Mytilus edulis: one gene and its partners. The protein of the gene in region 3 binds, or shares a complex with, the protein of the main gene of each other region. Links are inferred from orthologs where the notes say so. Each region holds a gene or a part of one and is shown on either strand. Other genes may lie near its edges. The genes, in order: WASH complex subunit 3-like, WASH complex subunit 1-like and WASH complex subunit 5-like.

Region 1 (10,848 bases), on a different chromosome or scaffold from region 3:
TGAAAATTTGTACACTTCACTAGTGGAGCTGGTTTGAACAGGTCAAAGATAGACAAAATTAAGATATGATTTTGTGATCACACCATTTTCCAATTTTTTTATTGAATAAGTAAATTTTCTTAGTTAACAGTTCTAAAACTTATGATAACAAAATGATATTTACTCAAATTTTCTATTTTCTTTGACGCCAATACTTAGGACAGCAGTTAGGACAGCATAGCTAAGATAATCCTAAGATAGTTGCGATGTGCATGCTAAAACATGTTGTAAGTCGGTCCTAACTTTATCATAATTTATGTCCTAAGAATATCTTAAAGGACCGCTCTTAGGACACTTTCGATAAACAGGCCCCAGTTCTCATAATATTATTATGTAACACATTGGTTTTATTTAAATGAATAAATGTCTTTTATTTACTTGCATTTATATTTTAGGCATAGAGCTAAATGCCTGCACACATTTCCAGGATTTAAGACCAATGCCTGACATCATTTAGGCAACAGACTTACTGCCAAGGCATTAGTTTGTTGCCTAGGATTTAAGCTTAATTCCTTATTTCACTTATTGCTGCCAACATATATATATTGGACCTGTAACCATGGCAACAGAAACCCCAAAAATTAAAATAAAAGTTATTTTTTTTATCAGGGCATCATAGTTTTAGTTTGTAACCCAAATTTGTTTTTTTCTCTATCGATTTATGAATTTTGAACAGGGGTATACTACTGTTGCCTTTATTTATGGGCTTAATATTGAAAAGAAATTCTAAATCTGTGACATTGGTGTGAACAGTCCCATGAATTTGTTTGTTTTTACAGAGAATGACACTTAAGAATACACAAATGCAGCCACTTCCATTTAAGACGACAACTGTCTAAAGTTGAACTCAAATGCAAAAATTGTGAAGATTTTGACTTAATGATGCTTGTACCAGATACACATGCATTGTATTGTCAAAAACAGCCCATATTTATGTAGCAGAAGTATTCTGCTTTCCAATAAATAGCTAAAAGTTTACATTATAACAATTTTGTTAAACTGATATATTTTGGGGCAAAAAATGGGTCTTACTGAATAACTGATCCTACTCCTTTGTATGCTAGAGTTATTTTAAAACCTTAATTTTGTTAAGCAAATATATTCTTACAATACATAACAATAATGAGGATGGATCATGAGGGGTGTTAAATGGTCAGCAGAAAATTACAATGTAAAGGCGTCATTTTAAAGGTTATTTTAAAGTAATATGAATATAATCCTGTTTTGAACTAGATGGACACACTGAGTCGGATTATCAATGAGATAAATAACCAGGTAAAAATCTGCAGGAAGACACATCACCTAAGCTGGACACATTGTTCTGGCTCCAAGGAGACCACCCACTGCTCTTACTCCTTAATGATGCATCCTAATTAAAGAGCAGTAAAAACAAATTCAAAATCTTTCTTTGACACACCCAAATACCTCTTGCACACCAGACCACTAAGGAGTAAAAGACAAACCTTGGCCTCTAATAAATTCATTGATACTTCCAATTCCTGAATTCTATTTGACATATGTTCTAACTTTTCTTCACACACAGAAGAAAATCTGTTGAGAAATTTAGCTGTATGTGTAACAAAATGGTTTATAAATGCAACAATTCTCTTCTGCTGAATAGCTTCCACCTGAAAGAAAACAAAAAGTATTCTTTTTTAAAAAGTATTCTTCTCTTAATATACAACAAATATATCAGTACAAAGTCTTCTATATGTTTTAAAATAAGAATCTCCACATGCTGTTTATACAAATGTAAAGATGTTATGAAAAATTCAATATAAAAAAAGTCGTCTATATTTCTGTATATGATTTAAGAAATATATATACATCAGGCGCATAGCTCCCTATACGCTAACACGCAATTGCGTGCACATTGATTCAGCAAGCAAAAAAAAAAATGCCAAAATAAAAATTTATAAATTAATTATGGTTAAAGCTAAAAGGAAACACATACGTTGTCACTTTTTTAAATGATGAACTGTCATTAAATAACGGCATTTCAAAACAAACGTTTTATTGGAGATCATGTAAAAATCGGACAGTAACTTGTATCTTTTACCAGATTTGAATTTATTATACTCAGTCTAAGACGTGTAGTTTTGGAGTACATTTTACAAAGTAAGGTATCTGTTTGCGATGCGATGTACCAATCGACCATTAGATTTATCGAAACCCTTTGATATTATTGAAAATATGCCGAGGCGATGTATTCGACAGACTACCAGAGCCAATCACCCTGAAAACACGCCAAAACAGCATTGGAAAGTCTCATTATATTTTGCGTTCACACACGTAGACCATATGATAATGGAATTGGAGAGTAGAGGGTGTCTGGTATTATCAGAAAAAAGCTTCTTTGTGTCGTATCTGCTTCCTCGTGTTGTAGGAAATATAACCAATGAATAATTCTCAACATTGTCTGAGACATACAAAATGACCTGGCATGTATTTGGCGGACAATTTCAATCTGGAGGTCGCTCGATTGAGAACACGTATGTTGGTTTATAACATCTCGCAAGTGCTACCATGCAGATCTATCAGTGTATTAAGTCTATTGAAAACAAATGTAAGATCAACAATGAACAACGACAGGTTATCATCGCTAGCATTACTGCATATTGATCGGGATTTCAGGGTGAATGTTGACAAAGTAATAGAGAAGTTCGTTTCTGCTTAGACCCGAAGAGCAGATTTTGGTCAATCTTGAGTAAATTCTGTAATTCAAAAATGTGTTGTTTATGTATTAAATTAACCATGATTTACTCTATTCAGAAGATTCAAGTATTAATAGGTTTACGTTCATAAATTGTTTATAAGTCCTATCTACATGTAGCTCCTCTCTAAACCGTCCTATGACCGAAAACCGAAAAAAAAATTTCTGCATTAAAGGGTCCAAATTTTTTTTAGCCGTAGTTGCTTGCACATCGTTTTCTTCTAGCTACGCTTCTGTAACAAGATGTCCAAATGACATTGAAATGTACTACCGCTGGAGTGAGCGCATAAATAATTTTTGAATAAAGAATAGGTGCAATTTAATTTATATACAGGTGCAATTAAAAACATGTCATTTAGATCTAATGACGGAGCTGAGCCTTGAAAGATTGGTTTCCCCTCATATGTTTTTAACATGTTTTACAAAAGGAACAATGTTTGACAAGGGATTTTGAAAAAAATAATGTTTTAAATGAAACATGAACTATAGGCACTTTTATTTTCTTCACATCTCAATGAAGTTCCAAATATCATGAATATGATTTGGATATGTACACCTCTTGAGACCATTGAAAAATGAATGTTTGTTTCCCCTTATGTGTGAAATATTTTTTTGATTTATAGAGAGTATTGTAAGGGTTTAAGGGATGAGTGTTTTTTTTACATATGACCTTTTCTGGCTACTCATAATCAGTAAACACTCACTTCTACTTTTACATTCTTTCTTTACTGTTAACCAACACGTATACACTGACATTTGATGAACATTACATACACTTTTATTGTTATAATATGCAAATATTGTTAGTTATATATATAATTAGATCTCTGGAAATATAGTCTTGAGATTACTCTGATGGCAAACGGCTGTTTTGCCAGACAAGCTGTGAAAACTGTTTAAATATGGAAAAACAAAGTGTGGCAGGTAGGTGAAGCTTACATAAATGAAGAGATAAATGAAAAATGAACAAATTGATACCCTATTTATATAATTCCAAGGCTGTTAGTTAGCACCAGAAGCGACGAAGCAGCGCATCTATTTTGGACAGGCAAATATCCACTTTTTGATATGGGACGAGTTTTGACATCCGACGACCCCAGCTTGTCTGGCAAAACAGCCGTTGGACGTCTGAGTAATCTCGGACTACTGGATATAATGATATATAGAGTTTGTCTTAACTGGTTGACCAGGGAGGATCCCCCACTAAAGGGAAAAATAAAGTTACTTACGGGGAAGCAACTTCTTCAACCTAATAGCCTGATATCTGATTAAATGAAAGATTTTTTTATTTATTAACTGAACACTGATTTTATTTAGCTCAACTGTCATTGGCACTAAATGACAGTAAATTTGTGAGTATGTATGACAAATGATTTCTTTAAGACACCTTTGTATAATCAACACCAGGTCCTACAAGAGGCAATCCATCTGAATCCATTATGGAGTGGAATATCAATTTGTTTGGCAGTCAGGTGGTATGGGTTGTATTTTTTTTTTTGGCAAAGTGAAACCGGAAGTAAATTTTCGATTACGGGGTGAATAAGAAATGACAATTAAATAATAAAATAAATATTTAAACTAATTTTATATTTCACTTAACTTTATAATATCTGTTTTTGACCACAAATATTATATGTGTGTTGTAATTCTATTTTATTTTTTTCAAAAGTGCGGGAATGACTTGGTGAATAACTTACTTCCGGTCAGTGCTCTTGCTGAAATTTCAAGTGACAATTCCTGAAATATACAGCAATGAATAGTGAACCGTCTTTAGAGACGGTTTATCAAGCTCTCCAAGCCCTTTATCAAAATCCAGACGTAAATGGAAAGGAAAGAGCATCAGTTTGGCTCGGAGAACTGCAACGTTCGGTAAGCAAACTGACCCGACTGCTGCCCCCCTTCCAGCAGTAGACTTCTGTTAAACTTGTATTAAAGCCCACTAGTACGATACATTATAAGATGCCTGTCTAATGATATCTGCCAATTAAGTTATAGCTATATTTCAAATCGTTCAACCGCTTTGCTTTTCACGTAAACAAAAAATATACATTATAAAAGATAATCATACCTCATTCTGTATCTTACTATCTCTATGTATAAGTTGATGATACAAATTCTAGCTTTTATTCAGAGAAAGAAAGAGATACCTATTGACGTCATTTCAATGGTGATGTCTCAGTCATACAACTGAGCAGACGTGCTTGGTCAGCTCTTCTTTACCCTCTATCTTAGTCCGAGATTACCCTGACGTCCAAAGACTGTTTTACCAGACAAGATAGGGCCTTGGGACGTCAGAGCTCGTCCCATATTAAAAAGTGGATATTTGCCTGTCCAAAATAGATGCGCTGCGTCGTCGCTTCTGGTGCCAACTAACGGCCTTAGTATTATATAAATCGGGTATCAATTTGTTCATTTTTCATTTATCTCTTCATTTATGTAAGCTTCACCTACCTGCCACACTTAGTTTTTCCATATTTAAACAGTTCTCACAGTGACCCATCGATTTCTGCATTTTGACATTCATTTTCAGAGATTATCATGTGACCACGAAAACGTATAAATATTTGCATATTTGAGTCTATAGGTCGTGAAGTTTCTCGTAACTTGATGTCCTTTTGAAAATAAAAGTAAAAATGTCTGAATCGATGGTTCACCTGGTCACTGTAAAAACTGTCTAATTATGAGAAAATAAAAGGTGAGAGGTATGTGAAGCTTACATAAATGAAAAATGAACAAATTGATATCCGATTTACAATGTACAGTTCAATTTTCGCGAAAGCCATCCCAAACTCCATACACCGAGTTTTTTCCTGGTGTGACACCAGGAAACTCCGACATCACTCCCTAAATTCTCGGAGAAATTTGGGAGTATTCCCTCCGACTTCCGCATAAATCCGTTACCTTTTGTTTATTGTATTAGCGACATCTCTCCCAGTCTGGAGTGACGCAGTGTCACACCAGGTAATAAATTGCCCTAATCCTTCTGATCTATGCCGGCACGCGACAGTCAAGGTATGCGAGATTTCTAATGTAATTAAACAATTGTATTTCCTGTCTATTGATTATCAGTTTATATCTGATTGCTTGAAACAAATAAAAGATTAAAATAAAAATCAAAACGTTGTTGTTAATTCTTTTAATTACTCTGTACATCTAAATCAAATTGATTTTGACTTTCGTTTTTTTATCAGTAAATAAATATTTAATTTACTAAAAGAGATATAATTGTGTAACAATAAACGGAGACTAACGCTGAATAAATTAGGGTAGTTTAAAGAAAAGTGACACGTCTCAAAGTTTTTTATACAAGTATAAAAAAAGAAAATATTATTCACTATCTGTTATGCTAATAAGTCTACGCCATTTCCATTTTACGATTACAAAATAAAAGTTTTAAAAAGCAAAAGGTTGTTGTTATTAAATGCTTTCAATTTCATTAAAGTTTTATAAAAAAAAATCTATACTTGATTATGACCTCGGTTTTTTTTTTATCGGTAATTTATATAACTTATGAAAAGAGACATACTTCATTGTGTACTTGCGTGAAAATAAACGGAAATTAACGCTGAAGGTATAAAATGTGAGAAAGAAAGAAAATTACGTGTCTTAAAACTTGTATATGCAAGAAAAAAAGAAAATACTTTTCACCATTCCTTATGCTTAAGAAGTCTACGGCATTTTCTCTTCACGATTTGTTAGCATTACTTTAGGATAAATAAAACATTTCGGCTACAACAGGAATACTTCTATAGCTGCATCAACTCGTCGTTGCATAATATTCATTTACGCACAATGAATGTAAACTTTTGTGTTGTATTTAGAACAGTGATCTTTAAATATTTTTAAAGCAATTAATTGCCGTGGGAAGACACGCATCTCAGTGATCAACAGTGCGTAGTTGAACTTGAACTTGACTTTGCTCACAATATTGAATGCTAAAAATAGTGACATCAATTTTGTCCACAAGATTTTTATTTGGCGGGAAATAGTATCATGTAACAGTAAACTCAGGTGACCTTTCTGGATAACCGTGGGAAAATTCATTCAAGGTTTAAACTAGCTTTGTAATGATTGACATAAATTTGTGTGCGTTAAGATTGAGGCTCTAGAAGGTACTTTTACAATTGATTAACCGGATTCTAAATTGTATTCCTTTTCTGAATTAACCAACATCAGCCTTTTATTTTTACGTTTCTCAGTCAACAGAGGACATAAAACCGGACATTATTTATACGTCCATAGTCAACACTATATATTAATGGTAGATGAAAACAGGATGCATGTCGTTCAGTTCCTGATGGGCGTTGGTAGAGATCCTCTGTGAAAATTTGCCGATCGTAAAAATCCGCTCCACATTTTTTTTTTACATATTTCTTTCTTGTAGAACACGATATAATTTCATTTAAATATTCTATTTTATAATTGTTGAAATACTTCTTTTTATATTTCGCCGAGGACTTTTAAACGAGCTGTAAAATACGGATTGCGCCAATCCAATTTTATTTTAAATAATTAAAGATCAATAACAGATCATAACGGATAAAAAACATGATTTTTTCTCTCCATATAATTAAATATTTAAAGGTTGTGATTATTGTGTTGTGTCTGGGCGGCGAATGTATCTCAGTATTTATGAATATAGGGCTGCCACATTGCATACAAAACTATTTGTCACTTTACAGTTTCTTTTTTAAATTCAAATATTTCAAGTCGGTAATCTACCGAGGTAGTGAAACATAATATTTTACGTTTCAAAATAAATTGTAACAGAGTTCACTTGTTGATCCGATAAATTAACTCTTGGGTTTAATTTAGATTGGACATATTACCGTAAAAAACATCATTTTGTTTTAAGCCAGTTGATATTAATTATATAATATTGAACTATTAATGAACCGAATGTTGCTCACTGAGTAGGTCATAAAAGGTTCTAATTGTGGTAAAATCGTCTTTGTTGAAAAAACAAAATTATGACCTGATCGGACTATAATGAAAATACAAAATAAGTGTTTTAATCGTATATTTATACGTTTGCACGTTGTATGTCATATGACAATGACATGGGCATATACATACAAGAATAATTATCTTATTTTAAATAAAAATGTCACACTTTTATCTGACAATGAAAGGACATTTAAATAACGTATTTTAAATCACTCAGGTGCAATCAAGATCGATTAAATGTACAAAGGTAATAAATCTGGCTAATCCGATGATGTTGTCACGCGTCAACTCATTAATTTTCAGTACATCTGATGGGCAATAAACCAATAAACAGCCACACGGTGTTGGGAGAGAATCTTTGGAGGAAAATGGGAGTATAATCCGTGATTCGCGGTGTCACACCGCTACACTCTGAAATCGGTGATTAGAGTTCGCGATTACATACTCTCTGGGCGTTCTGTATATAATTCCAAGGCCGTTAGTTGGCACCAGAAGCGACGAAGCAGCGCATCTATTTTGGACGGGCAAATATCCACTTTTTGATATGGGACGAGCTCTTACATCCCATGGCCCAAGCTTGTCTTGCAAAACAGCCCTCAGAGTAATCTCAGGCTACCTCTATCTGTGATGCAGTTTACTTATAGATTGCTCCTCTACTTACTACATTTTGTACTTTCAATTAAAGAATCAAATCCAATACTGTATAGTCTACGTAAATACCTGCATCAGCAGACACTCCAAAACCTATTATGGATGGGGGACTGATATGCCAACTGACATCAGAGGGCCTGTGGGGTGTCCTAGGGTGACTTAACTAATTAACTTCTCCCTATCTGGCATGGCTAAAGCTTAATTCTCTTGAGTGAAGTTGGGAATCCTTTTGTGATATAACCAATGAACTTCTCCCTGGAGCTTCTCTAGAGTGAAGTTGGGAATCCAAGGTAGACATATCCAACAAACTATTACCTTGGGCTTCTATAGAGTAAAGTTGGGAATCCAAGGATGACATAATCCATAAACTTCACCCTGGAGTTTCTCTAGTGTGAAGTTGGGAATCCAAGGGTGACATAATCAATAAACTTCTCCCTGGAGCTTCTCTAGAGTGAAGTTGGATATTCAAGAATGGTATAATGAATAAACTTCTCCCTGGAGTTTCTCTAGTGTGAAGTTGGGAATCCAAGGGTGACATAATGAATAAATTTCTCCCTGGAGCTTCTCTAGAGTGAAGTTGGGAATTCAAGGGTGACATAATCAATAAACTTCTCCCTGAAGCTTCTCTAGAGTGAAGTTGGGAATCCAAGGGTGACACAATGAATAAACTTCTCCCTGGAGCTTCTCTTGTGTGAAGTTGGGAATCCAAGGGTGACATAATCATTAAACGTCTCCCTGGAGCTTCTCTAGTGTGAAGTTGGGAATCCAAGGGTGACATAATGATTAAACTTCTCCCTGGAGCTTCTCTAGAGTGAAGTTGGATATTCAAGAATGGTATAATGAATAAACTTCTCCCTGGAGTTTCTCTAGTGTGAAGTTGGGAATCCAAGGGTGACATAATGAATAAATTTCTCCCTGGAGCTTCTCTAGAGTGAAGTTGGGAATTCAAGGGTGACATAATCAATAAACTTCTCCCTGAAGCTTCTCTAGAGTGAAGTTGGGAATCCAAGGGTGACACAATGAATAAACTTCTCCCTGGAGCTTCTCTTGTGTGAAGTTGGGAATCCAAGGGTGACATAATCATTAAACGTCTCCCTGGAGCTTCTCTAGTGTGAAGTTGGAAATCCAAGGGTGACATAATGATTAAACTTCTTCCTGGAGCTTTTCTAGTGTGAAGTTGTGAATCCAAGGGTGACATAATGAATAAACTTCTCCCTGGAGCTTCTCTAGAGTGAAGTTGGAAATCCAAGAATGACATAATAAACTTCCCCCTGGAGCTTCTCTAGAGTGAAGTTGGTAATCTAAAGGTGACATAATCAATAAATTTTTCCCTGGAGCTTCTCTTGAGGGAAGTTCAGCAGAGTTTCGCGAAATCTTTATTTCCTTGGTGGTCCTTGAAGAAAATTTGCTGGTCCTCACTATTATTTCTATTGAAAAATACTAAAATTGTGTCAGTCCTTTGAAATATTTTGGTGGTAAAATCTGTAGGACCACCACTTTTCATCATCTCTGAAGTTGGAAATCCAAGGCTGACATAGTCACTGACTTTGCCTGGTGTGGTGACACCTGCATTATGGCAAAATACTAAAAGGATCAAATACTTTCTTTAAATGCAACAATTTTGAAGAAAAAAAAAAAAAAAAAACTGAACACATGCTGACAAGTCATTTACCAAACTTGAAAGATGAAATTTATGTTCTTAAAATAGCAATTACATAAATAAATAATAAGTTTTGAGTATCAATTTGTGTGTTTTAGATGTATGCATGGCATGTGTCTGACCAGTTGTTACGAGAACATCAAGGACTGGAATCCTGTTATTTTGCTGCACAGACGATGAGAACAAAGGTAACATTTCGTGTGAATCTTCAAACATATATGATTTAATTATACTCATTATGAACTAGTTTCTAAGATTAACTTTTGAATCCACAAGTCCATAGCTCAATCCTGTATGAAATTAAAGTACATTAGATTGGAAAACAAAGTATACTGTAAACCAATTCTCAAATAGAATATTTACCTGAATTTAAATCTTTGCAAATTTGTATGACTTATCTTTCCTTATTTAACTTCATAAAGTAAATAAGAAAATCGCAAAATTAAAGCGCAGCGAAGTTGACTAGAAAGGACTAAACGTGAAATTAAGTATTAGCGAAAAATAAGTTTATTTACAGTATATAGAAAAATATTGTAAATGACCTATTTCAAACAGGGTGTTTAAAGTTTTAGATTCTAACTTTTAAGTTGTATCTATTGTTAGTTCATAAAAATTTTGAGCAATATGATATAAATTCATTATGGAACAGCACAATTTAAATATAGACTTCTAATTGCATGCAACTTTAAGAAAGTTATAAACATGATAAAGAGATTAAAGTTGATAACATTAATGACATTTTCCTTTTATAGTTTTCTTCTTGCTGCATATTTTAAATATTGTTAAATGGAAAGATGCTAAAAGCCAAATTAAATGGTGTCATTGAGTAGTGATGTTT
Region 2 (10,490 bases), about 78 Mb from region 3:
CAACATTTGATTGCCGCCCGCCCGACCGCCCGCCCGCCCGCCGTACATCCCCAAATCAATAACCGACATTTTTGTCACAAAAATCCGGTTAAAAACGGGTCAAAAGTCGGAAACGACATCTGGTACATATCTGGAATTGGTTATAAATTTGATACCAAAGTTTATATTAAAGTGTTAGAGGCGATCAAACTTATGACTTAAAGAATTAAGGTAGCACAATACAAAGATTTTTCATCCCCAATGAGACATCTTTAAACTGATGTAATTCCACTCATCTTTCTTTAAATTTTATAAATGAGATACCAAAAGAAAGAAGAAGGATTAATCTTTCAAATTGTGATAATTTCATTATGACATAATTATTACATAATTAATTATTATGTAATAAGTCGCTATATTGTGATGTCCACACTTAAATGAATTTAGCTTCTTTGTTCTTCATAGCATCCTAATTTTTTTTATAGATTCTTGCACAACACAGTTTGACCTCCAAAACTGTGTCTCAGATTTTTCCTATTGTATTTCATTCTCTCATAAATCTTCAATGAAGTTTACAAAATCAATTCATTAGAGACCACTAAATTCAATTGGGTATAAAATTTGTTCTATTGATGTTTTTGGAAATCTGAGACACAGTTTTGGAGGTCAAGCTGTGTTGTACAAGAATCTATAAAATATTTTGGGATGCTATGAAGAACAAAGACGCTAAATTCATTTAAGTGTGGACATCACAATATAGCGACTAATTACATAATAATTAATTATGTAATAATTATGTCATAATGAAATTATCACAATTTGAAAGATTAATCTTTCTTCTTTCTTTTGGTACCTCATTTATAAAATATAAAGAAGGATGAAATGAATTACATCAGTTTAAAGTTGTCTGATTAGGAGTGAACAAATCTTTGTACTGTGCTACCTTAAATGGTTAAATATACAACTATAAGAGATAAAATATTATTTGATGTCTTTTTTGGACAAGTTGTACACCTTTCAGAATGAGGCACTTTGGAAGCCTTGTATATATGGTCTTGTATACATTCATGTTTTTGTTAAATACTTTGCTTAATCCATTGTGAAAGTGAGGTTGGTGAGTATTGTCTGTAAATTCCAGACACTGTTTTTTCTGTAAATAAAATTTAACTGATATTTTATTTTTTCAGTAAAAAGCTGTAAGGAGCATGCGTATTTCCGTATTCAAATTAACTTTTAAGTATTACAGAGGGTGGTAAAGTGTTATTTCGTGCAACGTGTTTGGCCATTTTTATTTCACGTGAAGCCGTGAAAAAGGTTCTTTATTCACCGTGTTTCGTGAAATCGATAAAAAGATCACCGTGCAAGGCATTTTTAATTGTTCGTTCATCGTGAAATGGCAGTTTTATTTCGCGTTCTTCCATGCAGATACCTCCCTTTACGCCCCTCATTAAAACTAACCACCTGACAGTCATGTGACTTAATGACCTTGAAGTTAACTTTGCATGCAAAAAGACCTCTGCCATGAGTTTAGAAAATTCGTTTATTTTAGACCGATTCTTTTGGAAGGTAAAACTAGTATTAGCAAATGATTAGTGAAAAGGGTACAAAAATGTGATATCAAATAAAAAAAACGTAAATACTTAATATAATAACTTTATTTGAAAAATCTTCACACCACGTGGTATCATTTGCTATTGTTACTAAGTATAGCAGCGGAATATGACGTCATGCGGCAAGTGAAAGTAGAATTAGGTCGAAAAAGTCAGACGGTCGAAAACACAATACGAGACGATATAACAGAGGGGGGATAGGACCTTTATCGGGACTCCAGGATCGGGTGTTTTTAAGCTCGGGATTTCGAGATTGACCCTTTCGGGATCCGGGAATCCTTTTTTTCGGATTTTGGGATGTCGGGATTTGCTTTAATTAAATTCAGGACCTCGGGATTTCGTTTTTTCAAGTCCGGGATTTCGGGATCAAGACCCCTCCTATCCCCCCCTCATAACATGTATTATAATTTCATGAAACCTAAGAATCAATGAATGTTATGTCAAGTATTTATAGTACACTATTTCTTCAACCTAGAATACTATATTTGCATAGACAATAGTAAACACAACAGTTGAACTATTCTTCTTCTTTAAGTTTTCCAGTTTTCCATCTGAATAAAGATGATTAATAACTGGTGCATACGTGGCCTATTTATTAAAATTAAGTTATATTTACAAACAGTGCAAAGAACAGATGTAGTGATTAAAACTATGTACATGAGATGAAGTTTTTTAAATAATAGTGGAGAGAACAGCATATGTTAGCTGATCTCTGAAAGAGTCGACTGTCTGTGTATTTACTACTGTGGTTGGTAAAAGATTCCATTGAGTTATTGTGTATGGGAAGAATGAAAATCTGTACGAGTCTTTTGATGTATAAATATGTCTGAAGGTGTGAGAATGATGTTTTCTGGTTCTTGAGTCTGATGGAATGAGAATTGTGCTAGATGGTATAGCAACAAGTTGATGTGTGATCTTGTACATCATAACCAGTCGTGCACGCAGTCTGCGTTGTGTCAAAATAGGCCAGTTTAGTGTGTTCAGCATGTTTGATACACTACTAGTATTATGATACCTGTTGCAGGCATACCTAGCAGCTCGCCTTTGGACCATCTCTATCTTTGAAATAGATTCTGAAGTGTGGGGGTCCCAAACTGAGCAAGAGTATTCGAGTTTGGGACGGACAAGTGCTTGGTATGCCTGGCTCTTGATGTTTTGGTTTGATGTTTTTAGATTTCTTCGAAGGAAGCCGAGAGTTTTGTTGGCCTTTGATATATTGTCATCTATGTGTTTGTCCCATTTAAGGTTTGATTGTAATGTGATGCCTAAGTACTTAGCAGATGTAACAGATTCTAGTATATGATTGTGGAGAGTGTAATTATGTTTTAAAGGTTGACGTTTAGTTGTTACAGAGAGAACATTACACTTGTCTGGGTGGAAGGCCATCAGCCAGTCCTCTTCCCATTTTGTAGCTGCGTCAAGGTCAGCTTGCAGTTTTAGGCAGTCACTCTGGGATTTAACTGGCATGTATAAGATACTGTCATCAGCAAATAGTCTTAGTTTGCTATGTGTAAGGTAGTCTGGAAGGTCGTTGATATACGCCAAGAATAAGACAGGACCTAAGACAGTACCTTGAGGAACCCCAGAGGTGACTGGGACTGTGCTTGATGATCTTCCATCCAGAACAACTGTCTGGGTTCGATCAGAGAGAAATGCAGAGATCCAATTTAAAGTGTTTCCATTAATGCCAAAATAGTGTAATTTGTATAGTAAGTGACGATGCGGAACTTTATCAAAGGCTTTCGCAAAGTCCATTATTACAAGGTCTGTTTGTGTATTTGAATTGTTTGTGGATTGAAGTTCTTGAATGAAGGAGAGAAGTTGTGTCTCACAAGAACGAGAGTGCCGAAAGCCATGTTGAAGGTCGTACAAGATGTTATTTGATTCGAGATGTTTCATAATGTGTGATGTTACTATGTGTTCCATTAACTTGCAGCAAATACAAGTTAATGAAATAGGTCTATAATTGACCGGTTTATGCTTATCCCCTTTTTTATATGCTGGTGCGACTCTAGCGTGTTTCCAGTCGTTAGGTGTAATACCAGTGTTGTATGATTTGTTAAAAATTAAGCATAGTATTGGTGCAATTTCTGTCTTCATTTCTTTCAGTAAGCGGCCACTGATGTTATCTGGGCCGGTGGCTTTATGTGGGTTGATCTTATTTAAGAGTTTTTCGATCCCATTTGGTGTTATATGTAATTCGCTGATATTAGGATGTGAACTGATGCCTTTGTTTGGTATTGGGTCATCTGTAACTGGGGTAAATACAGATTGAAATTGTTCGTTTAAGAGATTTGCTTTCTCTGTGGCGTCTGTAATGATGTTGCCGTCTTTCTTTAGTGCAGAGATACCAGATTTGTCAGTTCTTATTGACTTGATGTATTGAAAGAGTTTCTTAGGTTTGCTCTGATTTTGTATTTGAATGTCTGGTTCATTAATTGGAAGATCACATATAAGTTTTTCAATATATTCCCAGTAGGCTTTCCTTTGATCTTTTTGTACCTGAGCTTTCATCTTTTTATATTTCTCCGTGTATTCGCTGTTTTTTCGCTTTTTGTAAAGTTTGTTTTTCTTGTTAATTTGTCGTCTTAATTTATCAGATATCCACGGTAATCGATGTTTGTTTCGTAGGATTTTTGATGGAATGTGTTTTTCGACAGAGCTGATGAGTTTGGTTTTAAATAGTTCCCATAGCTCATTGGTGTTAAGAGAATCATAGTTGTCAATGATTGATTTGTAGATGGTACTTATGTCAAGTTTAATTTCGTCCCAGTTGGCTTTGTTATACTTGTATACTTTTTGTGGGGTTTCTCTTATTCTCTTAAGCCAGATGTCTGCTTCGACATAGACAATATCATGGTCGCTTGAACCTATTGGTGGTAGTGTGGTTACTTTGTTGATGTATGTTGGGTTATTAATCATTATTAGATCTAGTATGCGATCATTTCTTGTTGGTGTATTGACAACTTGATGTAGGTTTGTGTCATTCATTATATCTAAGAGATTTTGGTGAAGTTGTATGTCAGGTTTGCCTGGTATTGTGCTTGATGTTGACCAATCAATATGTCCCAAGTTAAAATCACCCCCCACAATAATAGTTGCATTTGATTGACTATTGATACGATTTAGAGATTGATGGAGTTGCTCTAGTGACAAACCTGTATCAGATGGTGGTCTGTAATAGGATGATATTAAGATGTTTTTTGAGCCAGCAATATTGATTTCTGCCCAGACTACTTCACATTCAGTTTCTAGTTCTTTTACCTCTGAACTTATGAATTCTTTTGTGATTGCTATAAGTACACCCCCATAGCTTTGGTTGTTGGTACTTGGTGCCCTGTCATTGCGATACACATTATATAAATCTGATGGAAAGTACTCATAAGAAGAGGTGTTTGGTTCTAACCATGTTTCGGTACCTAGTATGATATCTGGTTTGACAGTATCAATGATTTCTAGTAGGTCCTGTTTTTTGTTTTTAATATTCTTTATAGATAATCTCAAACAACGCAGTTCAAAACACAATTTTAAAAAATCATGGTGCTCAGTGAAAAGGGGCGTGTAAAGTGTGCTTATGAATAATGGTTTTTTATTTACCTTTTCCAGATACTATGGTTTGAATATTTTCAACATGAATTACATAATTAGAATGTGAAAATGCATTAACAGTATCATATTGTCAAATCACATAATTTGGGCTAAAGCTTCAAAATGTTTTCGGCTTGTCTACTTGATCACGAGAAAAAGTTATCGATGAGAACTTCGTCAGTTCCGCCTCTATATTCGTGACGTAGAACACATAATAAGATGTATCAATATTTCAAACACTAGCTTTTCCAAAAGCTTGTCCAAGTATAACATTTATTGAGAAGAATTTTATTAGTTTAAAATCCATGCAATAGGATTATTGTTATATTATCGTTTATTAGACTCCACCTGGTAAAATGTCTCATGATTTGAAAATTAATTTAACGATGTTACAAATTGTAGTACTGAAAATACTGAACATCGGATGACCACAAGTTCTTGTGAATGGTCACAAGCACTTGTCCATCAGAAAAAAATCACATCTCTATAGATGAAAGCAGAGACATACAATACAATTGTATTATGTGTCTCTGCTGAAAATGAGGTTAATGTACAAAGATGTATTTTTTTCTGAGACAAGACAGTCGTGCGTTGATGATGAATAAATGGCAGAGAATTCAACCTCACCATTATTCTATTATATTGTAGTGATACAGATCAGTATACTGGTTTGTTCTTATTTACAGTAATGTAGTACTAGTTTATTTATATTTGTACATGTATATACCAGTTACATCAAGGATTTGTATAGGTCTTAATTACTAGGCTATACAAATCCTTGGTTATGATGTATATATAATGTTCATCCATGATATCATCCTATTATACTATTCTAATAATCGCAGTGCAAGTATTTCAGTGAATGTTGGATACTCTCCTGTTATAATGCGATTCTTATAATAAATTTGATTTGATTAGGAACGTTCATATTTTCACGCAAACTTTCTTATATTCTAATATTCGAGTCGTCTCGAAATATACGTATGTTGACACTATATTGCTTGTAGGTACACAGATGTTCCGTTTGTACGCATTAAAATGTTTTGGCACAGATTAATTAAAAAAAAAAACAACAGTAAATTGAATAGGTAACTATTTATGGTCAATTGCATGATTTTTATTCAAGAATCGAGAGAAATGACGAACAATATATATTAATAGTTCTTCAACAAAAGGAAATAAGAATGCCACGTAAAATATAAATGTGCTGCAACCTAAAAAAAAAAAAAGAAGAAGAAGAAAGAGCGCTTGTTTATACATTCAACGTTTTTAAATGGCTTCTACTCCCGGCTTCTACTTAGTAAGTCTTTTGAATGGACTTAAAATTATCAACAAGTCAATATCTCAATAACATCAGATCAATCGATTCTGTTCTGGACAAACCAATTAATGTCTATTCTGTTTCAAATTCATCTTGCATGTAGTCTGTAGACATATGTAACTGTAAATAGGAATCTAAATTTGTTCGTGAAGACACTGGATAAAAAGCATGAAAAACATAAACAATTCCGTAACTTGACAGTTCACGTCATGGATCTATTTTTTAATTGATTGAAGAAAAGTTAACCTGGCCTTTAAATTGATAGTTGATGTTTTAAACTTCCTGGCCGTTTAACATGAATAATTTGGAATGTATTATTAGTTATAATCAAAAGTAATGGTTTTTGATTCAATATGGATTTTGTTTATTCAGGGTAAGAGTTAAATTTTCCAATTTCAAGTTTAGAACAGACATGCATGTCCAAACGTTTTTATCTCAACAGTTTGATTCATTCATATTTTCGAAATTCAAAAGAAACCAACGGAACACCATATCTTAATAATGTTTCTTAAAATGCCGACAAAATAAATTCGGAGAACTTTTTGAAATTCTAGAGTGTTCTACAAGTCAAGTCTAACATGTATGATGAGTTAGGAATAATTTATTATAATAGTTATTGACCCTTAAGCGTTACTTTATTTTTTTTTAATATTTTGAAATGCTTTATATGTTTATTGCAACGATCTGTTAAAAAGATATATGAGAAATTACCATAATTATATCATGAATACATTATATATCTTTAAACATGTATCTATAATTATTCTCGTTGTTGTGCATGTAACCATAGCGCAGTAATTGCGTACCTTTAAAGTAAATATTTTGATAAAAGGTTAAACAAATCTTTTAATATTCATTCATCTGAAACATTTTTATAATGCAACTTCATATCTTTTAAAACAAATCTACAGTGTGTTTAAAGTAAACATTTTAAAAGCACAATAATATGGCATACTTAATCAGTATATATTTAATATCATTGTATAGGAAAGATTTTTAACCGAGTGCTTCGGTACTGACATACATTACGAAATACCTTTAATGAATTACTCATTGATTAATTGGGAAATAAGTAAGAAACTTAGCTTCAAATTGACTCAGGAAAATTTGATTTCAGGTAGACTTGGCAATTCTCTATAGGTCTTAAATGAGGGCCCTCATGGGGTTTTTGATTATGTGATTACTTGGCCGTTTTTTTAATGATTATTTGATTATTAAGCCAAATATTTCATGATTATTTGATTACCTAGGACTGTATTTTTAGTTTATGATTATTTGACTACTAAAGATAAGCAAATATTTAATGATTATGTGATTATATTGGCAAAAAAAAAGGTGATTATGTGATTACTAGGACCCCTCATGAGGGGCCTCTTAAATCAAGTAATCGGACGAATATATTTATAAAGTGTTATTCAATAATTCGTAGCTTCTGTAGGTTTAGGGATGTTTAGAACTTGGCATAATTATTGAACGAAGTCGATGCAGACCCTCTCAACTCTAAACATCTGCTTATTCAATACTTTGTCCTTAAATGCTTGAGAATGAGTAGGATGTCATTTTCGGCATGATTAATTACATATGACTCTAAAAACAATATGGGACGGATATAGTCATCTCTGCGGTTACTGTTTTGATTGTAAGAATCATTTTTTTTTGCAAAAAATGAAACTGGCAATACTCAATAAAATATGAGTTCGAAGCGCTTCTATAGATTTACATTCGACAGGAACACTCAATGCAAAATATTTGAAAGCCAAAAGGATGTATAATACCGAAACAGTCGAAGAGACATCTGACCAAAAAAGGATATAAAATATTAGCAAAAATAAATCTAAAGTTAACTTTGCTTAAGGTGTCGAAACCTTACTAGATTCTTAATAATTTTTGCTTAATTTAATCACCTTTTCAAATATATCAAGGTTTGTTTTAATGGCGAAAACCATGCGGCCCTCCATCCTCCTTAGATCTTTTAGGGAAATATGATAAGGTTTATCTGATACTGTTTTGTCTGCCAATCTATACATGTCAAAACAAAAAAAATGAAAGTAAAATTGAAAGTAATCTCTGTATATGTTTCAGTACTTCCGGTGTTTGGTGGTTGTTACTACCACTACCAATACGAATACCATGAATGTAATACTGATGTGTAAGTATTCATTAACATACACAAGAATTATCACAGATAATACATATGCATAAGGAATACAAATGAAAAGAATATTTTTTATATATTTTACTTTTCATGTTAATAAAATTGAGAATGGAAATGGGGAATGTGTCAAAGGGACAACAACCCGACCAAAGAGTAGACAACAGCCGAAGGTCACCAATGCAGCGTGAACCTATTAGAAAACATTTATGAAACCTATTTTTCATTTTTTTTTATGAAAACATAGAGGTTATCTCTTGAATTATAATTATATTCAAAGACACAATATTTTCACACACGATTTAAATGCAAATGTATATGAAAAAAACAAGAACATATGTGTTGCTCAGAAAACCGAAACATGAACCTAAGAGTCGCCCTCAATGAAACCAAGGACTTATTCTTTTGAACTGACATTTCTTTTTTTCTATAAATAATGCTTTATCCCACAACTTACACGGATTCTTTTAAGAAAAGTTATCGCTTCGACACACACATCAGACATAAAAAAAATGTCTATAGACTGCTCATTCGATATTCTCTATTTAATATATCTGAATTTTGAAATCGAAAATTGAAATCCACGATCTTAAGTCGAACTTCAGAATAACATATTTCAATAGCAAAAGTGCCCAATCAGGATAAGCCCTTTATTTCCGAGGTTGTAATGTCCGTTTCCAATTTAGTCTTACCCAATACATTGTGCAGATAAATTTAATATTTAAATCAGATCTATAGCCTTTACTAATACAACAAACATGATTTCATTTACTTTTTATTTCATTATGTTTAGAGGAACTATCATTGGTGCAATTATTGGTGCTTTGTTTGGAGTAGCCGTTATAGGGGCTATTATCACCACAATATGTTGTTGTGTTAAAACCAGTGGTATTCGTGGTCACGTGATACAACCAGACACTTTATCAAAACTAAATCAACATCAACATCAACACACGCTACAACAGCAGCGTAAGTAAAAACAAATGATATAATAAGAATCATCATTTTCATGGTTTTACATAGTCTCAACATAATAACGTTACAACCATATTTTTTTTATCAAACAAACTGCATGTTAGGTAAATGTCAAAGAGAGGCGAAAGATTCAAACTCATTGGCAGAAAATAAACGCAATGTTATAATTTCTCATTGTTGAAGACCAAACGGTTGCCTTTAATTGCTTACAACAACTTCATTTGAACATTGGTGTCTACAATAGTTAGTCATGTACTTCAAATTGACTTCGGCATGGCTAAATAAGAAAAATGACAAACAGACAAACAGACAAGCAACAGAACATACACCACAACATAGACAACTTAAAAGAAGCAATACGAACTACCCCGAAAACTTAGGATGATCTCAGGGTGACCAGGTCCTGGTCCACATGTGACAACCGTAGTGTAATTATTGATATATCATAACCATTACATTTAATCCACTTTGCCTTTGGTGATAAACGTTTCATTTTCCTTTCGTGATACGTCTTTAAAGGTTTAAGTTTGCATTTGTATTAAGGCCCTTCTGGCATGTTGTGATGGACATTTAGTTTATCTTGTCAATGGCTAAATAACACAAACAAATGCTATTAGGAAACACATGAACATGATACTGATTGAACCAAACTTATTACAACAAGTCAAACATATTACACAACGTTAGTTCATCAATAAAAATAGGATCGAAAAGAAAAAAAGTCAACACATGCATTCATCAATTTTAAAAATAATATCTGATATTTATTGATCAGATAATCAAATTGTCCTTCAAATATACCTTATGTAAAGTAATGTAAGGGGACCCATCTAGTAAAATATAGAAAAATCATGATTTATGTGAG
Region 3 (11,083 bases):
CTGAAAAGTCGGATCCCTGATGAAGCAATATTTATTAATGACTGTTCAGGTTGTAAATCCTGTTACGTTGTTTTTACAATTTGTTCTGCATTTGGAATCAAATAAAAACAGAACAATTCAAATAACGTTGTATGCGAGTTTCGCAGACATTACTTCTTTGTGCATAATTTGTTAACCTTTAAGTACAGTGATTACTTTTTATTACAGCATAATGCCATTAACTGTGAAACGGTATAACGCTCTAAGTTGGTTTTCTTGTATAAATAGTCATAGGTCACTGGATTGCTATATATCAAACTATTATTCAATAACACTGTTCTTGCTATGAAAAGTCGACGAAATGCGACTTCACAACGACTTTGTAGAATGTAACGGTTGTGATATTATATTTGGAAGGTTGTTGATTACGTAACGCCCACCAAAGCACACCAAAGTAAATTCGATGACCATATGAGTATAACACATTATTACAATAGAAATCCATCTAGAAATATCATATTAACTGAAAAAAAAAAGAAAATGTAATGGTGATTTTAGGATAAATGGATCCTTTAAGACTTTGATTAAACATATCAATTACACGCCAAAGAGGTTCTCATTGTGGTTTGCAGCTGACATTTTACGATATCAATGTGCATGAAGAAACTGATAATCTATAAGTAGGCCTATAACACGGACGTTCATGTAAGATTCTGAAATCCCAAGAGAAAACGTCTGACGCCACAAAGCAATACTGATTGTCAATAGGTCATGTGTTGCAAGCCTTTCGGAATTGTACGTGGTTCGTCGTCTATATCTTCACCGATTCGATGTTTTTTAGACGTAACGTGCACGGTCTGGCGTACAAAACTTTAATCCTGAAATCTATGACGAGTTTCTTTGATGTCACAGAACAAGGTCCGTTTTACTGGCCAAAAAAAAGTGAAACATATTGATTTTATGTTAATTGTGGATTTCGTGGAAGTTAAATACGGAACAAATAAAGATGGTGTGTAGATTGAGAAGCTTGTCATAATTCTAAATCAGTTACATTGTCCAAAACGTGTCTATGATCGTATTCTGGTGGATATAATCATTGTTTTTTCTTGTCTCTTATTAATGAATTAGGTTTCATTGTCAAAATATATTTTACCATCGGTTTTTATGATATATTAATACTGTTGACATAAACAAGAATGAAAACAATATTTACGCTTTAGAAATGTGTCCTAACTTTGTCGTATGATCATTAAATGACGTTTTAGTGGTTTATTTCCATAGCTTGAGTCCCGCAGGATATCCTGGTTGTAGACATATTTCCATTAGAAATTGCATTTTTGCGACAATATATGCTGTGAAATGCTATAAAAATCCATTTATCTTTCTAAAACCGAACCTAGTACATTAACATATTATTGTTCACAAATTAAATAAACAAACAGCAGACTGTCATTTATCATTTTCACCCATATAAAAGACAAATATACCTTAGAGGTGATAGTTAATATATCAAAGCAGTGTCCAGTTAATAGCATGTCAAGATATAACACTAGCAAAACATGATAGTGGAATATAGCGAACCTATAATTAACGGAACCAGATCAGGCCTTAGGTCATATAACTTAATTCAGTACTTGGGAGTACATAGTTTGTGCCAGGTGCAAAGACACGTAAAACATTCCCTGCTATGCATGCATCATCCACCACACAAAGTCATTTCAAATAGTAATTCTCAATGTCAGGACTATCACCACATCGGCATTAATGTTAGATGTAAGTATTCGTGAATATGTTGGATCATACAAATGTCACATGTTAGTTGGGAATCTGAGAAACTGTTTTAAAATAATCAATCAATTATTTATGGCGACCTTGCTAGTTAGGAAAATTGTAGTTATTCTTCCTAGAATGCTCTGTTAGTGAGATAACAACAAATGAGAATATGTATATTCATAACTCGTCAACCTAGAGTCGACTTATTGTGCTTTTGGGTAGAAAGGGGATGAAAAGGGAGCTCTGGTTCGTTTATCGAAACACTGGGAAGAACCTACCACCCAGAGCACAGTATTGTACTCCGTTAAAACGAGCGTTTGTCTGTTTTGTTAGTTGTCAGCAGATATGTCTGTTATCTTCAAATTTATCTTGTTCCTGAACTGTCTTCTATTGATAGATAAATATATATTTTGATTTTAAAGTACAACTTGGTACTTATACATGAAATTCAATATATTACAATTTTAAACATGAGCAGTCAATTTACATAACATTGAGAATGCATGAAATGAGGAATGTATATTTATACCAACCAGCCTTTAGAGGCTTATAATTCACTGTCATTTATGTACGAAAAATTATATGAATTAATTTGAAATCCAATAATCTTTATTATATCTGAAGCTTAATTCTTATTAGATACAATGTAGTTTCAATATATCAGTATATCTATATTTCGATGTTAGTAACTTACATTTTGAAGGCGCCTCAGCCAAGAGAATTATAACATTCGGTTACAATAATACAAAGATCAAAGTCAAAACTAGAAAATAAGTACGAGCATGACATATAGTAAGACTTAGAATGTGTATAATGCTACTAGTATGTTGCACTTTAATGACACATGAAAGGACATAACATAATATATTCGACATTCATTTACTTGATAATGACGTCCAAGATTGACTAACTTTAAAATCACACCATCTAACTACCGATATTTACCAGTTCTTAGTGTTCTTTTACTACTTTAACCTAAAATACAGCTACAAACTAATTCTGACAAAACAGATGTGCATCTATAACGTATACTTTCTTCTTCGAAAAAAACCCCAGTTTATTAATAACCAAGTTTGTTAATAATTTGTTGATGACATCTTGTTGAACAAACATTGTTGGCTTTACGACATTAGCAAGGAAGAATATTACATTTTCCTGCACAATTACAGACGGAAACCTAATGACAATCATCACCCAAGTTTATTTTGTACATGCTTGACTCTGTGAATTTACTGATAGTCTGTGGAATTGATTTTAAGAACACGAACGTCAACAGGATTATACTCTGAATAATGATTTGTAAAATATGATCCTTTATAGAGGAAATCTTATAAATGCATTTTGATATCGTTAATATTTTGAATAATGCAAGCGTGTTGCACTGTTTTAAAGTCTAATTTATTAGATTTGTAAACCTTGTAAACTAATTTTCCAACTTAAAGTTATAATGTTTCTTTTTCCGAAAGGATGTTTCCGACTTATGTAAAGAATAATTTATTTTTGCATACTTTCTCATTCTCATCTTGATATCTATATCACTAACAGAAAGCTGAATACTAAAATTTATGGTAAAAGAGATGATTTTTCATTTCCTATCGTTAATTATCCATTTTTAGATGGTGACGTTCCCTTGTCACCATCTTACGGTGTTTATATATCTCAACTTGTACGATTCGCTCGTGTATGTAACAATGTTTTAGATTTTAACGAGAGAACTTTATGTATTACTGAAAAATTATTACACCAGGGTTTTTTGATATCACAAACTAGTCAAAACATTTACTAAATTTTATCATCGGTATAAGGACATCATTCGTAAATATAGCTCAACATGCAGACTTCTTATACGTTCAGGTATTTCACATCCAATTTTTTATGGAAATATTCTTTATAAAGCACAAAGGTGTCAGTATTCACCTCAAAAACTAACAAAACCTTTGAATAGACTTATTAAGAAGGTATATAGTTACAATACTGTTGTCAGGTCATTAAAGATTGCATATTTTGGCGTTAATATTGATTCACTTATAGGGTCTTTGCATCGGAACTAAACACATTTATTCAAAAACCAGTTGTTGGCATGACACGGGTTATGTTCTTCTCATATATGTTATGATGGCATGATACTAAACCCCTAACGGGAAGGATTGTGCCTGATGTTCATATGATGAAATCATAATCTTTCAGTCAGTTTAATTGAAGTCTGGAGCTGGCATGTCAGTTAACTGCTAGTAGTCTGTTGTTATTTATGTATTATTGTCATCTTGTTTATTTTCTTTGGTTACATCTTCTGGCATCAGACTCGGACTTCTCTTGGACTGAATTTTAATGTGCGTATTGTTTTACGTTTACTTTTCTACATTGGCTAGAGGTATAGGGGGAGGGTTGAGATCTCACAAACATATTTAACCCCGCCGCATTTTTGCGCCTGTCCCAAGTCAGGAGCCTCTGGCCTTTGTTAGTCTTGTATTATCTTAATTTTAGTTTCTTGTGTACAATTTGGAAATTAGTATGGCGTTCATTATCACGGAACTAGTATATATTTGTTTAGGGGCCAGCTGAAGGACGCCTCCGGGTGCGGGAATTTCTCGCTACATTGAAGACCTGTTGGTGACCTTCTGCTGTTGCTTTTTCTATGGTCGGGTTGTTGTCTCTTTGGCACATTCCCCATTTCCATTCTCAATTTTATTTCTCATTGTTTTCTAATTTCAGGAGAAAATAAACTAAACACAGATTTAGGTAGATTGGAAGTCAGTTTTAGTCAGTTAAAATATCTAATTGTAAATGGCTGAAAATGATTTGTCTAGATTTTAACAGCTTGAAATTAGTATTTGATGCATAATTAGTATTTATTTGTAAGACTTCATTAAATTGAAGATTTTTAAAGGAATATATCTTATATTATAGGGGCATTAACTACGGAGATTTTTTTTTCAATCATTCTTGAAAATTAAACAGTGAAATAATAATTCGCCTTAAGCAGCCAGTTTGGTTATATTAGGTCAAAATAAGCTAAGAAATATCGCTGATTAATTATTTACTTGCAAGTGAATAATTCTACCTAATTGAATCCGTATGCATGTGATCTTACATTTAACTCCTTAGCTAGCGATGGGTTACGCATTAACAAGGCTTGGTCAGCTATTAAAAGGATAAAAGGGTAAAGAATTTGTCGACGGATTCGATACAAAATCTCATTCTTATACAGCGTAAGAAAAGAGTGGTTAAAGATACCAGAGGGACATTCAAACTCATAGATAGAAAACAAACTGACAACGACATGGCTTAAAAAGAAGAAAAAAAGACAAGCAGACAAGTACACAAGACACAATCAAACAAACTAAAGACTAAGCAACACGAACCACCAAAAACTGCACTGGGGCCATTCGGATATCAGGTGCTCCGGAAGGGAAGGCAGATCCTGCTCCATATATGGCACCCATTGTGAACGTACTTCCTCGTTGTTTAACGACGATTAACATATGTTTTTAACCTATAGCATAGGTCCTATAATATGAAATCAAACAGACCCTAGAAAAATCCAATTGCACGTGTTCGCTATCAATGTATTATAGCTATATTTATGTTTATGTCAGGTTTTCGTCAGCAGTCTTCTTGATGGTTAATTATATGTCGTCTAGACTAAAGTACACACGAAATGCTGATACATATTATCGAGTCCATACATTGTAAATCATTTATTAGTTTAGACCCTTTATTATTTGGATATACGTTTTAGTAGGTTATCTATCAAATATGAGAATTTTAATAAAAGAAAAATTAAACAAAATCTTTTCAAACGATGTGAATTTGAAACAAAAATGTGATATCAGGGAAATAACTAAGATAGCATAGTATTATGTAATGTAAGTTTACATTATTTTATGTAGCCAAACCGTACGGTGACCCTATATTTTTTCATTTTTTTTCTCATAGCACATTTTCACAGCTATCTTATCATGTCAAAAATCTTTCAGGTTTTCCTATTGAGTTAGTCGTATGCTTCAATCAGATGATTAACCACAATTGTAATTATAATAACTTCATGTTAATCTAATTTTTGCATTTCAGGATTCTCTTTGAAAGTCGGAATGTGCTTATCTTTACTTGTAAGGTGACATTAAAATTCCTACTAGTATAAATCAGATTTAAATTTTTTACTAGTGGAAAATGTCAGGTTTTTCTTTTCGAGTATTGGTCATTTGATATGATTTATTTTGGTTACAGTTATTTAATATTTTTGCAGATTGTATTTTCTCCATTATTATTCTCTATAATTTAATATTTTCTATTTTCTTCTTGTATTATTTGTTGTCATTTTTACTTTGTGCTTGCTCTTTCTTTAAAAACATGGGTCACAATGTGTACATTGAATATTTGTGTCCTTTGCTGTGCGTTGTTGTATATGATTTCTGGTCGGTTATTGACTTTACTCAATTTACTAATGATAATAGGTGTCGCTGTGGCTGTTTCCGGATGTTGACTATCTGTCTGCTCTTTACACCAAAATGGACAAGGAAAGTGTGCTGTGAAGAGTAGAAACACAAGTTTCTGTTTGAGTAGACAACATTTTATATTGAAAAAATAAGTTACGGTAGCATTCAGATGCACTTACCCTGAGGATAATTGAAGTTGGTTGAGGGTTGTCACATGTTCATGAGTGCCTGGCAGAGTGGGCGTAACTTCTGATGTTTTTTTTCTGATTTGAGTTTAGATTCGACTTGTCTTTAGCACAAACTAACATTACAGAAACAAGCAATGGCTGATTTCCTTGCAGAAAATAACCAGTGTGGTCAAAATATTTTACGCCTTGTGTCAAGGGGAAATGCAATACTTGCTGAATTATTGAGACTTTCAGAAGTAATACCACCAGTTTTTAGACAGGAAAATCAACACGAAAAAGTTAAATATGCTGACATTATTAGTGATTTCAGTTACTTTAGAAATGCAGAATACTTTGACAATAAGATTGAATCCAAAGTGGTAAGATATTGGAAATAATCATTTAGGCCTACCTTGTAAATTGTTTACAAAATAAACAGATATATGCTTTATTGTATGTGACCACTTTTAATAAATTAATTCTATGCAAATCTATGACAACTCACCCCATTGCCAAATCGCTCCAGACCAACTTGCCTTACTTTTTTGGATAATTTTAGGCATTTATTAGGCCACAGCACTTGGGACAATATTACTAAAGCACCTTGAAATGAGGAACTCAAAAGTCATGTGTAAACAAAAAATCTCTGTGTAGTGATATTTGACACTTCTTATGATAAACAAATGACTGAACTTAACCATTTGTGTTAATTAAGAAAGAAGGGGAACACAGAATAAATTTGTAAAATCTATGGAGTCATTAAATGTGTTCAAAGTATTTAATTTTCATAGAAATTATTGTGTTAAAAATGGGATTTTTTACCTTGAGGAGCCGCATCACAAAAGGATACTCAGGGTTTGCTAATTTACGGAAAAAGTAATCTCACTTTGTACCCCGAAAATTTAACCACATATGTCAAAATGTCTCAGCTTCGAAACGAGCCATCACACATATCCAAGTTAACGAAATGGACTGAGCAACAGAAGAAAACGTAACTATTACCGCCTATGGAGAAACTAATACGCATCATGACCCACTTGTCTCAAATTTAAAAAATTTGAGACAAGAAATTGTTTTTCTATACAGTACATTGTATACTTTTATATAATGATCATTTACAATAGAAATTTAGCTAATCTGCAAACAATTCAATCTTCATGTCTAATATATTATGTACTGTGTTACAACTCTAGATTCTACTCAGTACTGACGAGGAAAGGTAACACTAGCCCACTAAAAGCTGAATTATTAGTTTCATCTAGGTGGCTGAGTGGTCTTGAGCTTTGGACACAGTGCAGGTAGTGTTGTCCAGATATCCCTATAGCATGACTTTGAATCCCAGCGAATTTACAGATTTAACATTGTTGTCATGGTTGTGCTAATATTTCATGTATTTAGAGTAATTAGAATAAATATGTGTTTTCAGCTGTGTATCACCTTCAATGATGATCCTATGGATGGATCTGTCATAGAGTTGTCACTTGTTTAGACTTCTTGAAAAGTTATAAAATTTGACCTAGCTGTGCATAAAATAGGGAAGAAAAGATCTGTCTGAAAATGCACTAAATACATTCAAATACATGTACATTGTATATATATATATATTTATAAATTATAAAATATCAAGTGACTGAAAAAAGCCAACTATAAATCTTAAGGGGCAATGGATCATATAATTATGATACAGCACACTACAAAATATAATATATAACAAGTCTAAAAGGGTACAACATCACCAAAAATAACAATAAAATGAGCAATAACAGATATATTATTAGTAAGATCACGATGTAAAAGAATCATACATTGTATCAATCAATTCTGATTATAAAACTAGAACAATCTTGAAATTTATACAATGAAACAGTCAAATCTGAACATAATAGAGACATGCCCGTGTACAACTCTAAAATTTATTAAACATGATGTAGGTTATATAGCTACAATGTATTTACAACAGAGACAGCAAAGATATGCTTCAAATAAAAATAGTTATGTGCAATATGAACTGGTACAACTCTAAAAAGTGAAGACAATTTTAACAGATGTTACAAAAACGATATACTAATATCTATATAAACATGTATACAGCTGACCATTTCTTCATCCAAATGGCATTTCATCATCCAAATGGCATTATGTACTAATTATTTATTGCAAAAATGTATTATACCATATCAGAGTTTGTGCCTTTATTTGAAAGGAATTGCCCTTGATTTCTTGCAAAAGTATTAGCAATAAAGGAAAAGTTTACTGACATAATTAATCTGAACACATTAACTCCAAATGGAGCTTTCGTTAGTATAAGCCATATTAATTAGGTGCAGGGGAAAATATGAAAGCATAAAAATATAGTACATGTATATGCCAATACACAGCGCCTGGTGATGTTTCATAGCTTGACCGGTTTCGGTCCGAAAAGTAAAGTTTGTTTTCTTCTTCTTTCAGGAACTTCAAGATTTGGATGAAGAATTCAGGGAAAATAACATTGAAATTCTGACAAGATTTTATCAAGCTTTTTCTAGTGTACATAAATATATAATAGATTTGACAAAGTAAGTACACCTGGATAACCATATATAAATTGGTACATGTATCCTTGATGGATGAGGTACTATGTATAATAAAAAAATATTAAACAGTTTTGAGGTTTGATATTTATCTTTGTAGTGATAAGTTACAATACAATGGAAAATAATGTTTTCATTTCTAAAAGTACTTGCAATTGGCTGTAAGTTTATATTAAATAATTTTTTATATCATGACTTTTATTTTAAAACTTTCAAAGTTCTATTTGCTTGCTCTAACACATTTACATGATTTCATTTAAGATTGAAGCTACATGTACTATCCAGGAGATAGATATAGTTTTAGGCCTGATCGAGTTCTGTCTTGAAACATAATTACATGGTTCAAATGTTTGTCCTTAAAAAGTTCTTATTCGAAGAAATCTGAACAAGTTTTTCTAATGTTTACAAGATTAGTTTAAATGTGATTTTTGTTTGTACAAAAATAATGAAATAAGCTGTAAAGAGAAACAGTTAGCATGTCTGATTAAATCATAGTAAAAATTAAGTAGTCATTTATACTTGCACTTGTAAGATTGTGTCTGATTGAATGGATTTTCTATTATTTTTACAGTATACCATATCAGAAAGGCCATTCTCCAGTGCTTTAAGTTAGAAAGTTTATAATTCAAATTGATGATACTAAATTTGATAAGATTAAAATGTTATTGATCATGCTTCTATAATTTGATTGTTATAGATTCCTGGAAGATTTAGAAGAAGGAATATACATACAACATTCATTGGAAAGTGTTTTGATTAATGATGATGGTAAACAGTTATTGGTAAGAAACCATTAGAATATAGCATTGTCTGCTGTTGTCTGCTCTATGGTCGGGTTGTTGTCGCTTTGACACATTCCCCATTTCCTTTCTCAATTTTATATATTTTGAAAAGCATTAGCAAAAGGTAGAAAGAGATAAAGACCTATTCATATTCACTACACTACTCCCATTTCAAAATACAAGTAGAATGGATAAGCTTGGGCTTATAACACAAAGAAAGTATTATTATAAATTTCCCAATGCAAGTTCTTTGATAAGGGTGAAATGGAATTTCTTATGTTTTTTGTTTTTTAATTCACATACTAGAGATTCTTTCTTTTTAACAGAATATGTCAAAGTATCTTTAACTTGAGGTTCCTGATTATGACAATCACTTGCACATCTGACTTTGGACATGTACATAAACATGTTAAGTTCCTGACTAGGCAACCGAACATGTCAGTCTCCTGACTTCTGACAGACACATAAACATGCAATGTTGTTGACTTAGAACAGATACTTGAACATTTCAATTTGGGATTCTGAGAAGGGACAAACAAATGAACATGTGAGGCTCTAGACTTATGAGTCACATGTACATGTGAGATTTTTTACTTGGAACAGGTGAAGGAAGCTCCTGACTTGTAACAGGCATATGAACATATGGCTGATCTTGTAACTTGTGAAATAAATATAAATGACTGATTGAGATTACTGTATTTGATACTCAGTCCTGTATACAATTCAATTTTGCACTGGTTGGTATATCGTCAGACTTTTGATTTCTTTAATGTGTTTCCATATATTGACACTAAAACATTCATTTATTACAAATAAGTAATCTCTAAATTAATGTTTTCCTATTTGAATAAAAGTAGTTGGCGTGAAGAATTTTGTCTCGTTCAAAAAGTCTTAGAAATATTTGATGATCAAAGATAAAGATTTTCTAACATTTGCATAGACATTGCCCTTTTGAAATTCATTATACTTTACCGGACAACTACAAATTTACTATTTGGTAATTTAGAAATGTAAACAGGGCAACATCGTAAAGGAAGAAAACAATTTCAAAGTAATGCTTTATCAATGCAAAAACATTTAAGCATTTATAGATATCTCACAAGTTACAAGATCGGTTAAATACCAAAACATATTTTTTCCAGCGATTTGTATACCATTCCTAATCCTTGTGAAAAATACAACAAAAAAAATACACAGTTTTGTTTTAAGTTTGTTATCAGTATTCTCCCTCTAAATCTTTACATGTTATACCAGGAACAATTTTGACTGGCCAAATCAGAAAAGTATATTTTCCTACATCTTATTTTATCAAATCCAAAGTTGTAGAATGAGCTTTCACAAACTAATAATCTTTCTATTATATTGTATTTTCATTA

Evidence for each region.
Region 1: WASH complex subunit 5-like (region 3) and WASH complex subunit 3-like share a complex: the UniProt entries of both Drosophila melanogaster proteins name them as parts of the WASH complex. The link is inferred for Mytilus edulis from reciprocal best matches to the Drosophila melanogaster genes Strump and CCDC53.
Region 2: WASH complex subunit 5-like (region 3) and WASH complex subunit 1-like share a complex: the UniProt entries of both Drosophila melanogaster proteins name them as parts of the WASH complex. The link is inferred for Mytilus edulis from reciprocal best matches to the Drosophila melanogaster genes Strump and wash.

What each region holds. Positions count from the first base shown.
Region 1 is NC_092353.1:26,955,378-26,966,225, reverse strand, and holds the start of WASH complex subunit 3-like, read right to left. Parts: upstream 4,279-10,848; 5' UTR 4,191-4,278; coding exon 4,140-4,190; intron 1,668-4,139; coding exon 1,503-1,667; intron 1-1,502. Other genes in the region: transportin-3-like, read left to right, coding at 4,505-4,621, 10,109-10,198. UniProt on the Drosophila melanogaster protein: Acts at least in part as component of the WASH complex which may regulate wash nucleation-promoting factor (NPF) activity and is required for its membrane targeting during endosomal sorting.
Region 2 is NC_092344.1:31,570,830-31,581,319, forward strand, and holds the start of WASH complex subunit 1-like, read right to left. Parts: upstream 5,377-10,490; 5' UTR 5,187-5,376; intron 1-5,186. Other genes in the region: uncharacterized protein, read left to right, coding at 6,835-6,871, 8,581-8,647, 9,444-9,619. UniProt on the Drosophila melanogaster protein: Acts as a nucleation-promoting factor by activating the Arp2/3 complex to induce actin polymerization. Participates in both linear- and branched-actin networks.
Region 3 is NC_092344.1:109,306,285-109,317,367, reverse strand, and holds the start of WASH complex subunit 5-like, read left to right. Parts: upstream 1-6,183; 5' UTR 6,184-6,510; coding exon 6,511-6,735; intron 6,736-8,803; coding exon 8,804-8,910; intron 8,911-9,622; coding exon 9,623-9,707; intron 9,708-11,083. UniProt on the Drosophila melanogaster protein: Acts at least in part as component of the WASH complex which may regulate wash nucleation-promoting factor (NPF) activity and is required for its membrane targeting during endosomal sorting.